2 linked regions of the Arabidopsis thaliana genome follow. The protein of the gene in region 1 interacts with the protein of each later gene in a pairwise test. Each region holds a gene or a part of one and is shown on either strand. Other genes may lie near its edges. The genes, in order: AT1G61590 and AT2G21380.

The links.
Region 2: the proteins of AT1G61590 (region 1) and AT2G21380 interact in a two-hybrid assay, tested with the Arabidopsis thaliana proteins (one large-scale study listed by BioGRID).

Annotation. Positions count from the first base shown.
Region 1 is NC_003070.9:22,721,774-22,729,677, reverse strand, and holds AT1G61590 (Protein kinase superfamily protein), read left to right. Parts: upstream 1-3,487; 5' UTR 3,488-3,655; coding exon 3,656-4,099; intron 4,100-4,573; coding exon 4,574-4,709; intron 4,710-4,820; coding exon 4,821-4,957; intron 4,958-5,062; coding exon 5,063-5,186; intron 5,187-5,553; coding exon 5,554-5,987; 3' UTR 5,988-6,310; downstream 6,311-7,904. Other genes in the region: RPL3B (R-protein L3 B), read left to right, coding at 7,276-7,360, 7,500-7,610, 7,694-7,904. UniProt on the Arabidopsis thaliana protein: May be involved in plant defense signaling.
Region 2 is NC_003071.7:9,138,410-9,146,022, forward strand, and holds the start of AT2G21380 (Kinesin motor family protein), read left to right. Parts: upstream 1-3,065; 5' UTR 3,066-3,299; exon of another isoform or gene 3,300-3,382; 5' UTR 3,383-3,423; coding exon 3,424-3,767; intron 3,768-3,909; coding exon 3,910-4,007; intron 4,008-4,118; coding exon 4,119-4,208; intron 4,209-4,337; coding exon 4,338-4,390; intron 4,391-4,684; coding exon 4,685-4,750; intron 4,751-4,862; coding exon 4,863-4,916; intron 4,917-5,167; coding exon 5,168-5,227; intron 5,228-5,420; coding exon 5,421-5,499; intron 5,500-5,592; coding exon 5,593-5,660; intron 5,661-5,792; coding exon 5,793-5,849; intron 5,850-5,930; coding exon 5,931-6,035; intron 6,036-6,313; coding exon 6,314-6,418; intron 6,419-6,644; coding exon 6,645-6,752; intron 6,753-6,884; coding exon 6,885-7,016; intron 7,017-7,105; coding exon 7,106-7,288; intron 7,289-7,418; coding exon 7,419-7,559; intron 7,560-7,613. Other genes in the region: XK-1 (xylulose kinase-1), read right to left, coding at 1-109, 251-339, 418-550, 664-916, 1,037-1,176, 1,294-1,496, 1,578-1,641.

The sequences.
Region 1 (7,904 bases):
TAACTTTTGATAGTGGAGGGTAAAGTTATGTAATTTTAGTGTTTGCTGATTGCCAAGTCTTTAACTTTGATTTTATGAAAGTAAAGATAAAAAGATAAAGCTATAACAGTCACATTCCACTCTCAATTCTTAGTAAGTTAATTTTTTACTATTTAAAATTCAGATCTAAGATATTCTTTTCATTTCAATATTTCAGATAAATTGGGATTTTGTATTTCGTAAATTCGGCGGTTGATTAAAGTAAATGATTTTAATAAAATTATACTAACTAATGAAAATTAGAGATACCTGTAGCCTGGAGCCACTCATAATGAATAGCTTTAACTTAGTGGATGGACTAAAGCGATGATATAAAAGGAGGGAAAAAGAAAGAAAACGAATAAAGGTATATAAAAAAAATTGTGTTAATAAATCTAAAGTTTTTCTTGTGAGCATACACATACTAGTAGATTTAAAATATTTTGAGTAAGACAAACAATTTAAGGTTTAAAAAGTGAACCAACATCTTCCTATGACATTCTTACTGTAAATTTAACATATGAAAATTTGATGGTTTATGTTATGAAACAAAGCATCGATTCCACCTAATCGAAACACATAACCTCACGAATCCAAAAAGCACAATCAAAGACACAAACGATTTTAACGAGTTCCCTGCCAACAACAGGTACGTCTCGTGAGGGATCGGTACCCTCAAACATCCACTAAAGATCAAGAGATACAAGTGTTTGTGTTCTCTCACTTTCTCATGATTACAAATCAATCGTGTTACAAAGAAGAAGAAAAATAGCGAAGAACAAAGAAGAAGAATGAATCAGAGATGAACCCTAACTTGAGAAGACTCTAACAAGATATCTCTCATCATCATCTCTCTTACGCACACAACGATCTAAAATCGAATGATCACGCTAATCACCAAGCTCGCTTCTTTGTACGCTCTGTTTCAGGTTTTATAGTCGATGATGATTTAAGACAGCTCCTCTCATATGATGACAAGTGTCATCATAAGCTCCTTTCAAAATCTCTACTTGGTACAGAGTCTTAGCCTTTTCCTTAAACCCCTGAAATCCTCTGCATCAACTAGAATGTTTAACACTTAGTTGATTCTTGTGTTTACTTACTCTTTTTCCTTTCTTCTACTTCAAGCAGTCTTCAAGTTTTTGTCTAAGCTTCTCCAAGATGATTTAGAGTAGTCTCGAGGTTGAATCATATTTCAACAGTTTACACGTTTATTTTGGTCAAATCTTACACGCACACACTTAAGCCATCACCTGCAGTGCACATACTATATTCTCCTATAAGATAGAATATGATAGATATTCAAGAGATCAAGAGGACAAGTACAAGACTGAGTGGATCTATGTCCAAACATAACCTTAACAATCTAGCAGGCCCGGCTCAATATTTTATTGGGCCATGTGCTACAAAAAAAATGATATTCTTTAAACTCTTAACTCTAAACAAAATAACCTTATGTGACATGTATTTACTGTATTCTTTTTCTAAACCTATTACTAAAACACACAAAAATTAAGAAAAAAAATATGAGGACCCTGTGCATTGGCACCTCTGGCACTCCCCTAGAGCCGGGCCTGCAATCTAGTCATATAAATTTTTCTGAAAGGTTGATTATACATAGTCTCATGTAAACTAAAAATGGTTTACACAAGCATTCATCTTAATACTCAATCACGTATAATAACTAACATACTCAGTCCTTGTTTAAACACTTGTTATCTTATAACCCTATTACTTTGTTACTTCGCGAGCATGCTATCTAATTTTTACATATAAGTGATATAAACATACAATAACTATATGTCTATATCCATGAACCTTACTTTATAAGACAATCATGAACCATAACCATGCATGGAAAATATGCGGATGTGTTAAGAAATTTTTATCGACATTAGCTATTCGAGTTAATTTATTAAGTGGTTTGTATTTGAAACTATATATGTACACTGTACACAGAAGAAAAAATAATTTTAGGATACCACATATGGTTGATCAAGGAACAAAAAAAAAGAAAAGATGGAGTAGAATAAGCCAATAGTTTTGAAAAGTGGAGCAGGAAGAAGCGTAATGGAAATGATAAAGTTTTGTTATAGTAGACATTATCCATTTCTGCATACATCATCCATTATCTCACTTTAACTGCTCCTATGATTTTTCACAAGAAAAAATAATAAGAAATTAATTAAGATGTAAACAAAACTGAAAACCAAAAACCATCCGTTGAGGAAATATCCTTGTACACACTATAAACCCCACAGTAATATGATATAAAAATATTTTCCTTAACAATAAAATGAAATATTTGGGTATAGGTCAATGACCAAACTGTGGATCAACTAAAGTAAATATATTTCTATTATTGGAATGGAAGTTCACACTTAACTCAGAGTCCTTTCTGGATATATCAAATCCGATCAGAGAATTTTTCCTGAATGATCTGTCATTCAGTCAAATTAACTAACCCTTAAGACCCAAAAATGCAATAGACCTTTGTTAGAGGTGGAGGTAACCCTGGCCGAAGACGTAACCATGGCCTAATAGGTTTATGTCATAATAAAAATAAATTAAAAACATTATCTATCAATTTATTCCAACATAACTAAATGTTTTTTCTACTCCTACATTTTTCGTAATATACATTTATTGGCATTTCGTAAAGCTAAAAACTTATAAATTTTATCAAACAACATCTTTGATTACAATTGATTAATTTCTCGTAATCTCTCTTTCTCTTGTAACTGGATCTTCAGAGCCAAAACTAAGTTAAAATCTTAATTTAGCCATTAAGTGAAATATGTAGTGATAAAAAAGCTTCCCCTTAAAAAATCGTCTCCAACTTGTTTGACTAATATAACAAATCCACTACACTTATTAGTTAATGATTTGATAACTCCAAACTAGTCCGTAATTTTTAAATCGCTTACGCTAACAATATTGTATCTTCAAATTTACTAAGATATATTTTGTTTTTCCGAGTCAAATGTGATACCACATGTACATATATCTTTACAATGGAGTCAAAAGAGAAGACATCATGACGCAAAACCCCAAATTTTGAGTAGAGTGGTTAGGGCAGTTGATGAAAGAACGTCCCTACTCTTTCCTCTTCATCCTTTATTTATCAGCTTATCCTTAATCGAAAGCTAGAAAACAAAACCGCTATTTCACATTTTCTAATCGTTATTCAAATAATAAGTTTGTGTGAGTCTAAAAGTTAGATAGCAAAAGTTGCAAAACTATTGAATTTATTTTTCCATGTTTTTTTCGGAAATACTGTAATGTGATGAGTATAATTGGATCTGTTAGTTTGTTGGTTTTAATTAGAGGTTACTACTATAGAACATTTTATAGTTTTAATGTTTCTATAACCAACCAAAAATCCATTAGATCAAAGTATCCGAATTCAAATATCGTGTCAAAAAAAACACGATCATGCAATATACATTTAAGTGTCATAAATTAACCGTTACGTATTACATTGTGACCTATATGATAGTTACATTTATTTATTATACTTATATAAGCATAGTCCGTCCCTATCTCATATGTATAAATAAGACCCAACCCATCCATCATTGTTTTGCCTCCTAAAATCTTACAACACAAAAAAAAAAAAAACATTTAGTTAAATCCAATGAGAGACTCTTCAACAACTGCATCCACCAAATCCTCACCGTTATGGAAACCCTTTGCCTCAAACTGTTGTTCCGTTGATGACCAAACCGTCTTTGGCAATCTCAGCCGTTGCCGACCTTCGAGATCAGAATTCTCCAAGAACCATCTCGGACCACTTCCTTCTTTTCGGCGACTCTCCTTTGCTGATCTAAGCCGTTCTTCTTCGGCTAGGATCAATGAAGATCTTGCACAGACTCTTGGAGCCGACTTAGTGGATTTTCAGATGTGTGAACTCAAGATGATCACTCAGAGTTTCTCCGGGAACTATCTTCTCGGAGAAGGTGGGTTCGGTAAAGTGTATAAAGGTTATGTTGATGATTATCTCCGACAAAGTCTCAAGGCTCAGCCTGTTGCTGTCAAGCTATTGGACATTGAGGGGCTTCAAGGACATCGTGAATGGCTTGTAAGAACGTTTACCAATAATTGCATGCTAATTATTGTGTTATTTTTCTTGTTACTGTTCAGTAATTATTATTTAGTTATGACATACATTTGATTACGCATACGTATATGGTTTAAGTTATAGGACATCCCAAATATTATTCTAAAATTACAAACCACTCCTCATGGTTTTTATATTTTGAAGATTCTTTGGACTCATTTATTTTTAATTACTTTAGGCTAGGAAACTATATTAAAAAATGTGTTTGGTCATAATATGGACTAATTAAGTACGCATACGATACGAGCTTGTTGTTTCTTTTTTTGGTGTCACGTACATTGTAAGAGAATCTTTTTCTTGTTAGTCTGATATATGTAAGAGTTGGTTAGACCACTTTCGTATACTCTTATATACACCTATCATCTTAATTTAGTCTCTAAGAATATAATTAATTAAAAACATCTGATACATAATATGTTTTTGGTTCATATGCAGTCTGAGGTCATATTTCTTGGACAGCTAAAACACCCGAATTTAGTCAAACTTATTGGTTACTGCTGCGAAGAAGAGGAACGAGTACTCATCTACGAGTTTATGCCACGTGGTAGCCTAGAAAATCACCTCTTCAGACGTAAGAACATTTTTAATAATTAAAATTTAATTCGTATCTTAATGTAATTTTTACTGTATTAAGTGATCAGTATTTCATTTTACTTTCATATTAACGTAATTAAATTGTCAGGGATATCACTATCGTTGCCGTGGGCGACGCGGCTGAAGATAGCGGTCGCAGCTGCTAAGGGTTTGGCGTTTTTGCATGATTTGGAGAGTCCAATCATTTACCGTGATTTCAAAACTTCTAATATACTACTTGATTCGGTAATTTACTAATTTTAGTTTGATTTTTTTTTTTTCAGCGTACAAAATTATCCTAAATACATTCTTCAAAAATATATTTTCTTATTATTACATGGGGGTTTTCAGGATTTTACTGCAAAACTCTCAGATTTTGGGTTGGCAAAAATGGGACCAGAAGGATCCAAATCTCATGTCACAACTCGAGTCATGGGCACTTATGGTTATGCTGCTCCTGAATATGTTTCAACAGGTTTATACACAATGATTTCATTGTCTGTTTTTTCAGTATTTATTCAAATCATTAGGGTCCTTTTAAAAAAAAGGATATAGTTTCCTTCTCATATATATATCTTCCATTGCTTTCTCTTACAAAGAGACCATTTTGATAGAGTCATTTTGAGGATTACACAGAACATAGAAATAAGTAAAACATATAAATCTGTAATGCGTCAAAATTTGAATGAATAGGAATTAATTAATTTTATGGGATTCTAATTTTTGATTAATTTTTCTTTTCTTAACTCAACAGAGCTTTATTAATAAGAGTGGACATAGTCATGGTGTAATCAGAATCTAATTTTGATTAATTATCTAACGCATGTGAGCATTATTTTCAGGGCATTTAACAACAAAGAGTGACGTGTATAGTTATGGCGTCGTTTTACTCGAGCTCCTAACGGGAAGAAGAGCCACAGAAAAGTCACGGCCAAAAAACCAGCAGAACATCATCGACTGGTCAAAGCCTTATCTAACAAGCAGCCGCCGACTCCGATGTGTTATGGACCCGAGGCTCGCTGGACAATACTCCGTCAAGGCGGCTAAAGATACAGCTCTTCTAGCCTTACAATGTGTGAGCCCAAACCCTAAAGACCGGCCCAAAATGCTTGCCGTTGTGGAAGCTCTAGAGAGTCTCATACATTATAAGGACATGGCGGTTTCTTCTGGTCATTGGCCACTGTCTCCTAAATCTCAGGGCGGGAAGGTTTCCCCGAAGGTTCGAGGGGATCATCGGAGTGGTAGAAAATCAGCTCCGGGTTCGTTAAGATCGTGAACTTAGGGTTGAATGACCTTATAAAAAAAGAGAGAAAATAACATGTGTGATGTGGTGTGTGTGTATGTGTGTATACGGTCATACGTCTAAGAGTGACATAGTGAGAGACATATGACTCTCACTAAGAAAAAACAATGATATGAATATATAAATATTGTAGATTAGGGTTTTCGTATAAAATATTTAATCCAATTGGCTTTGATATAGTTTTGCGTTTTTCATTGTGAATATCACATCTGTAGATCATTCATGGTGTATAGTATCACTTAATTGGATCTAGTAATATCATATCATCTAACATATGTTTGCGTAATAGATTGAGGTCTTTTAAATACACTCTTTCATTTGATCAGATTCTAGAATTTTTTTTAAATAGTTTTAATGCAATATTTTGGATATATGCTAATTAATTAAAACTAAATGGGCCGGGCTACTTGACCCTAACCATAAGCCAAGCCCATAGAAGGCGTAACCCGTAATTCAGAAGCCCTAGGTTTCAGAGAAAGTATAAATACCTTATTTCAGTTTTCATTTTACCCCAAACATTAATATCTCTACTCATATCGCCGACTTAAAGGTACATAAAGTTTCTCTTGATTCTTTCGATCTTGCTTCAGGAATCAGGACACTGGTTCATCTCTTACCTCATTTGATTTTCATCATTAGGTTTCAATTTATGTGCGCTTTGTCTGTTAAATTTTCGTAATTTGCCTTGGTTGATCATAGTTTCACATTCTCTAGCTGCTTAAGTTTTGTAGTATGTTGTAAAAATGTGTGTTTTGATTATGATATACTCTCAAGGTAGTTCTGGTTTATGATTCAAAATGAGAACCCTCGGAGATACTTTATAAAATCAAGGCCGGAGTCTCTGAATCAGCTCTTTTGCTAGAATCCAGATTTATCTGATTTTTTAGTGAGAAACACTCTTATAGAGCTTGAGATTTGGTTTATCTTAAATGATACCATCGGCCTTTGATCGAGGGAACATTTCGTTTCATTTTTCCAGAATTCCTTAAGAGTATATCTTCTATTGTCATAATTTCTCTGCAAAGTCCTGATTTTTGTATATACCTGATTCGATTGATTCTATTAGATTGTTATAGGGGTTTCTGCTAATAGTTTAAATATGTAGTCTGGTAATAGTTGGTGTTCATTGATATGAGATTTTTGCTTGAGTACATGGGACCTTTTTGTTCTTGCTTGGTTTTGTCATTGGATTTGTTAGATGTTATCTGCTGTGTTTATAAGTTTTTATCTTATTTTCTAGTATTTGTTTCTGGTTGAAAGAATGTCTCACAGAAAGTTTGAGCATCCAAGACATGGTTCTTTGGGTTTCCTTCCAAGGAAAAGAGCTAGCCGACACCGTGGGAAAGGTAATTTCATCTATTCACCTATTTATTGCTACTTCTGTGTACTTAGTAGAATGAGCTGAGGTTTTCTTTGATGTCAAAAATGTTTTGTGTATGCTTCTATGTAGTGTTGTTCTTATATTCCTTGATTGTGTTTTTCCAGTGAAGGCCTTCCCTAAGGATGATCCAACTAAGCCTTGCAGACTCACCTCCTTCTTGGGATACAAAGCTGGGATGACTCACATTGTGAGAGATGTTGAAAAACCTGGATCAAGTGTGTTCTCACTCTCTTCTCTTATCAAGTCTTAATTTTTGCATGTGGTTTTGTACTTAACTTTTTATTAATATTGTTGACAGAACTACACAAGAAGGAAACATGTGAAGCTGTGACGATCATTGAGACACCTCCAATGGTGGTTGTTGGTGTGGTTGGTTATGTAAAGACACCTCGTGGTCTGCGGTCTCTATGCACTGTGTGGGCTCAGCATCTGAGCGAAGAATTGAGAAGGAGGTTCTACAAGAACTGGGCCAAGTCAAAGAAGAAGGCTTTCACTAGATATTCTAAGAA
Region 2 (7,613 bases), on another chromosome or scaffold:
CGACCAACCATTTGTCATCCAGGCGGTGGCTGTAGACTCCATACCTCGCATCATCAACTCTTTTGGTGCTGAGAAGTTTGATGGCTAAGGTCGAACCCAATGAAGTTACCTTTGACAAATAATCATAGAAAAGAATCATTTCATGGTACAAACATCAATATGTCCCTCACAGTACAGCTTTTTCACATGAAACGGTTAAGTGTATAGCTGAGATATAATTAGCAATCCGAAAGTATTGCAGAGTTCTCACTGCTTTCCCAGGTTCAGTCGCGCGTGCTGCAAGAAATGCAGCTATGCTATCAGTAGTACCGGTGCAGACAATGCAATCATCTGGAAATCCTGGTCAAGCCAAAAAGAAGATTGAAAATCTATTTTTCTTTTCATCGATTTTTTTTTTTAGACATCAGAAATATTTACCAAATTGCCTTGTAAAGCTTTCTTTCAGATTGCCTATTGATGTTCCAGGAGCTTGCACCTTAGGTAATAACTGAGAATAAGGCTGACCTAGCAACCATGATGGATATGATTCACTCTCAGGATCATAGCCCACCTGCACTCAAATCCAAAATAGGAAAGCACTTTGATGAGTCACATTTCCTTGTTTAGCAGCCTATTAATCTACACTTTCTGCCTAAATGCAGTAAATACTTCATGGTGTGTTACCTTCAAGGCATTGTTGTAATCTGACACTCCGAGTCTACCGTGAAGTAACCACAACAACCAGTCTGCCTGATGCAGCAATACCGCTGATTCTCTGTTTGGCACCTCAGTGTTCCACCATGAGACAAGTTTGCACAAGGTAGAAGTACCAGAGCAGACTGTATGGTTTGCTGGCGCTATAGACTTGACCTCTGGCAGAGCATCAGGGCAGCTCTGGTTGTAGAGATAAGGTTGACACAGAACTTCTCCACTCTCACTGCAACACATAATTGAATAAGCAAAGGAGATTTAAACAACACATTACTGAAACATCAAATCCTCTAATGTAAATGGAATACAGAAACAGAAAAGAGAAGTGATCCGGTGAATTACATGCCTGTTTAAGATGAGAGTAGTTGCAGAAGTTCCATCAAGCGAAATGGATGAGACGAGGGAGCGAACTGTGACGGGAATGTCCTCTAGCAACGAAAAAAGAGTTGCTTTCCATGAGCTTGCCCAACCCATGCTTTCTTCTTTCTATCTAGATTTCAAAACAAATGTCTCAGTCCATAGCTTTCTCTTGATTTTGTTCATAAAGCAGCTCAGAAATTGTATATGATATATATACAAGGATACTTAATGCAAAAGTTTTACCATGAAAGGAGGATATTCTCTTTTGCCTTGTGCTTTAATCTCTCCTTGCTCATCAATAACTGTAAATCGACCTCCAGAAGTACCAAAATCCATACCCAGATAAAGTTTTTCATAGTTCGTTCCTTTATTGCCACTCATAACTCTGAAATCGGAGTAAAATCTAGTTCTGGGTAGAGGAACACTCCTTGAACTAGAGTAAAACCCTGAGATTAACATTATCATAAATGATTCAGCTCCTAAAACCCCTAATAAACGCCATTATATCGAAAAATCTTCATGTTTACCTGTTTGTTTTGGAGATTGGAAGAGCTCAAATGAAGATATCTGAAATTGACGAAGAATCAGCATCTCTCTTTTCCTTCTGAGGCTGCTTTCTTCTAAACTCCATAGATAAGGGAGCTAGCAAGTTCGTGACCGTTGGATTTCTCGATTTTTTCCTCTTGATTTGAATTTACCATTTTAGCCTTCCATATTATTTTTATTTATTTTACTCCACTCAACACCAAGCAGTTGGGCTGCACGTTCTCTGGTCATCTAACGGCTCAGATTATGGGTGCGGATCTTCATATTTGGACCCTTGTAGGCCCACGACCAATAATGATGACAACAATCCCTCTCTCCTGGCACCATATTTTGTTCCACACAAGTTTTCTTTAAAAAATTTACATGTAAATGCTATATATACCAAGCAATTTTTGTCTAATTAAAAATTTACAGAATATTGAAATCATAGCACTAAGACGCAAAACTAAAAATAACAACATTCCATTTGCATATGAACCAAATGGGTCGTGGTCTAGTGGTAATTCATGAAGATGAAGGTTGGTTTTGGTGTGTCCCAAGTACTGTTGATATCCTTATTCATTAAATCGGAACGTCTAAAAATCTGTCTTTGGATACTTGGGAAAACTACAAATGATTTTTTGCTGAAAACATGACTTGGATTTCATTGTGAAAAGCATGCACGTGTGAGCCAGATGTGCGGTGGAGCTCAAGAAGTGGGAGATATGACAACTTCTTTGCCACTGCTACTTTACCTTCGAGAAGCAATCACACTCTATATACGTAAACTACTTGGTATTAGGGAATAAGGACCCACATATTCAATGTGTGTGTAACATAAGTGTTTAATATTATAGAAGCAAGATATACGTGCTCGTAATAACTCCATTTTATTGGATTACTTTCTATTTTATTTTTATTTAGGTTATAATTTTGTCTTTTGCAATTTGCAGGATTTATTAGTACACCATCTATTTAAGGATAATGTTTCCTTTCATTTAGCCATTATTAAATTCAGTACTGAATCTATTCGACATGTTGCAGTTAAGTAGAATCTAACATAATGTCGCAAATCATGTTCCATTGGAATTGACGTTTTTTAACATTTTGAGTGACCCTTAAGAGAAATTACTTTAAATCTGTTCATTATTTTTAGATTTGGTGTTGGATACAATTCCTAATTTATTTTTTAACTGATTCGGTTAAAAACTTAAAATTGAACATATTTCACTAGGATTTCATTTTCTTTGGTTTAGGTTGAACCGGAACAAAAACATTGAACGAATTAAAGGGCAGAAAGGACAAAAACATTGAAATCCTCCATTTTTACTAACCCATCGTTCTTCCCGCTCGTTCGGTTCATTCAATTTGTTTCGAAAACCTTTTAACCCGGTTCGCGGTTATTTTATTTTAATCCTCAACCACGTTCGAATCTATTAGCGACACAGTAAAAACAAATATATTTTATTAATCAAAAATTCAAAATCTGAAAAAAAGACGCTTTCACCAAAAAAAAATATCTCCAATCGATTTCTCTCTATCTCTCTCTTCACCACCGTCGCGTGAAGAAGACGAAACAATCGCTCTCTCCTTGTGTGGTCTCACTATCTTTTTCTCACCTTCGCGTAGCTTAACCATGGAAAAGTAGAGAAGAAGAAGAAAGAGAGAAGTGAGAGAAAGACGAAGAAGATGAAGAGCATATTGCTTTTTCTGTCCCCAGCCATGTGAGTTTCCACTGACACATTCTCTCCATCTTCACATTTGGTGTTTTTTTCTTTTGCTTGATTCTTTCTATCTTCATTTTCAGATTTTTACCGAGTCCGTAACCGAGTTTGAACGAGTTAGTGGATGGCTTCATCGTCGTCTAGAACTAGGAGTCGTTCTCCTTTCTCGCACCGTAGACCTCCGAGTCCTTACTCTTCGGCTTCGTCTACTTCTTCGTCTCTTATAAATAATCGTCTATTACCTCGTTCTTCTTCCACACCTACTTCTACCGTTTACAATTCCGGCGGTGTAACCGGGTCCCGATCTATGTCGATTACTCGCACCATTTCCGATTCCGGTCCCATCGGCGGCTCCGGGACTTATGGAGCCCAATCGTACCCATCGGAGGGGCTCATTGGCGAGTCTGGGCAGACGATTACCTCTGAGCGAGATAGCATCTCCGTCACCGTTCGATTTCGTCCGATGAGGTACGGTAGATCTGGAAGCGGAATATCAGATCCATTTGATACAATTTCACGATTATTCTTCTTTAGAAGTTTAATATTTATGAAATGTGAATTGATACTTAGTCAATTTTGAAAATCTCCCGTGTTATTTGTTTGATTGCAGTGAGAGGGAGTATCAACGAGGAGATGAGATTGTTTGGTATCCTGACGCAGATAAGATGGTCAGGAATGAATACAATCCCCTCACAGCTTACGCATTTGGTATTGAGATCAATTTATTGCCGGAGATAATTTCAATTTACTGTTCATTGATTATAGATTTGGTCGCCTCCGTTTGTTCAATGAATGTTCTTCCATATTTGTTGATGCCAGATAAAGTTTTTGGACCACAGTCAACAACTCCAGAAGTATATGACGTAGCTGCTAAACCTGTAGTCAAGGCTGCTATGGAAGGTGTTAACGGTAAGGCTTATAGCTGTGTTATCGATTAAACAAGAGTTGTGTTTGTCATTGAAATACTTTTAGCCAACTCATTTGCTAGTAGCATTACTTGCAGGGAAGTATTCTGACTCTGTGTTTGCAATTTGACAGGAACCGTTTTTGCTTATGGTGTTACAAGCAGTGGAAAGACACATACAATGCATGTAAGTGTTTTGGAAAAATACACGCTATACACCATTTCGTTATACAACGTTTACTGTGATGTGAAAGATATACGATATCATACACACACTGGGTGATTATAGTTGCTGATAAATGTTTGATTGACATGCTTGTGTTGATAAAAAGTAGAGAAGATCTTGATTAAGATTGACCAAAATGATCTCTTCTTAAATCATCACGTGATCATATGCATCTTGGATTTCCATCAAACAATCAGAGATTCAGCTATACATGCTGTTAATAATTAACCATTGCTTCATTTGCAATCTGCATAGGGTGATCAAGATTTTCCTGGAATCATACCATTAGCAATAAAAGACGTGTTCAGTATCATTCAGGAAGTAAGGGATCTTCTTCAACTTAAAAACTATATGGTCCTTACTGATTTAAAGTTCTTAATGCATCTATTACAGTGTCATATCTGCTAATTTCTTACATCATTCTAAATATCAGACCACCGGAAGAGAGTTTCTGCTCCGTGTTTCATATCTTGAAATATACAATGAGGTATGCAAAAAATTTCATTCCATAATGTAATAGCGTTTACTGACACAATAAATAAACCATGAAGTTAAGGCTTTTAGCCTCATATAGTCATATATAGTTTCCTATTCCCCTCACGTTGAAGTAAATATGATGTATCTCCTTTTTTGGTAACATGTGATATAACTCATCATGTCTTATATTTTAGATGAGTGTTCTTAATTGCTTATATGTCCATCTGTCTGCAAGTTATCTTATTTTTGTCCTTCTATCAGGTGATAAATGACTTACTGGATCCAACAGGGCAAAATTTACGTATTAGAGAGGATTCCCAGGTTTCCATCTTGTTCTCTTTCTCTCACACATGATTACATATGTATATCAAACAAGAGCATTTGCTTGTTTGTATGATTTCATTATTTTCACTTTAACAATAACAAATATGATACTTGATGAATAGTCCATGTTACATCCATCCTGTTTTTATGGATTACCTTGGTTTGATCTAGAGGGGATATTTTTTTATAGGGCACTTACGTTGAGGGTATCAAGGAAGAAGTCGTTTTGTCTCCAGGCCATGCGTTATCTTTCATTGCAGCTGGGGAAGGTAATTGGAAAAATTATTGTTGAGACATGTTTTCAAAATATTCCTATTTGCGTTTCCTTTATTACTGTTTTGACTTTTGATCTTCAATGGCAGAACATCGTCATGTTGGTTCAAATAATTTCAACCTGATGAGCAGCAGAAGTCACACAATATTTACACTGGTACATTTTCAATCTTGTGAACATCCCATTTTCTTACCCTTGATCCTCTCAATGTCCTTTAGATACTTTTTCTCTTACAAATGTCCTTGCTATGCATTTTAAGTTTCAATTTCAAGTATTTTCTGTTTGCAGATGATTGAAAGTAGTGCTCATGGAGACCAATATGATGGAGTTATTTTTTCTCAGCTAGTAAGGGCTTCTTTCTTCTTTCATTGCATAAGTTCTCTCGTCTTATAAACAGCTCTCTCACAGTGTCTCTTTCTTGCTCAGAATTTGATTGACTTAGCTGGATCTGAGAGTTCCAAAACTGAGACAACGGGACTGAGGAGGAAAGAGGGTGCATACATCAACAAGAGTCTTCTGACTCTTGGAACTGTAGGTGTCTCTTTTCTGTTGGAGCTTTCTTTTATTTGTCAGATATTTCCTTTTCAGTTATAATATGATATAAATCAGAATTAAGTATAATGCAAAACTGCCTTAGAAGAACAACCTGGTTTGCTAGTGTATCTTAATGATCAATGCCTTTATTTTCTGATAAGCCTGTTCCCTTTTTGTGTCCTTATGTCAAGGATAACATCTCTAGTCACCTAACCTTTGAAATCGATTTTAGGATGTTTTGATTATAAACTATATCTCATGGTTCAAATATGTAGGTGATTGGAAAACTGACTGAGGGCAAGACAACTCATGTCCCATTTCGGGACTCTAAGCTAACTCGTCTTCTGCAATCTTCACTGAGTGGGCATGGGCATGTATCGGTACGACTCTTCTGTATCTGGTGAATATTTCCCATTTTACTGTAATAGTTTTCACACGGTTGATTATCTCAGATTGTCTAATTGTGTTGTCTTCAGTAGCATATTTAAGGCAATGTTGGTTTGTTTGTATTTATTGGCTATCTAATATACGCTGTGTGCTGATCTTAATTTTAAAATCGCAATGAGCAGAAGCTAATTAAAATTTTATTTTCTGAAACTTTTGTAGCTCATATGTACAGTTACTCCTGCGTCAAGCAGTACCGAGGAAACTCATAATACTTTGAAGTTTGCCAGCAGGGCAAAGAGAATTGAAATTAATGCCTCACGCAATAAGGTCATTTCTTAGGCTTTTGGTCATGAAGTACTTGGCTTTTTCATACAAAAAAGAAGAAGAAGTATTTGACTTCTATTGATGGCATAACCTAAAATTCGGCTAAAAAATACATTGTTTCATATCTTGCAACAGATCATAGATGAGAAGTCATTGATTAAGAAATATCAGAAAGAAATCTCGACCCTCAAAGTCGAACTTGATCAGCTAAGAAGGGGTGTGCTAGTTGGTGTCAGTCACGAAGAGTTATTGAGCCTAAAGCAACAGGTTCTAACCTCCCCGAGACCTTGTTATTTCATAAATGTTTGAGTTTATTCCTATTTGGTGAATAGATCGAGCTATCAATTTATTAACAGCTACAAGAAGGTCAAGTGAAGATGCAATCAAGATTGGAGGAAGAAGAAGAAGCTAAAGCAGCTCTAATGAGTAGAATCCAAAAGCTTACAAAGCTCATACTTGTCTCTACCAAGAATTCTATTCCTGGATATTTAGGTGACACACCAGCTCATTCTCGCAGCATTTCTGCTGGTAAAGATGATGTAAGTTTGTTATTTAGATCTGATTATCACTGTGTTCCTATATTCCTTTTTAACTGTTGCATGTTGGTTCCTCACTGCCCAAGAGGTTTGATACCTGATTGACTCATTCTGTTTTCTTTCTGCTCTTCAGAAGTTAGACTCTCTGCTCTTGGATAGTGATAATCTGGCATCTCCATCTTCGACTCTCTCTCTAGCATCAGATGCGCGACGGTCTTCCAGCAAGTTTAAGGATGAAAACTCTCCAGTTGGTTCTCGTGCAGAATTAACTCAAGTAAGTTCTGGGATTCTTAGCGTATATAGTTTTACATTGAATTTCGTTTATTAG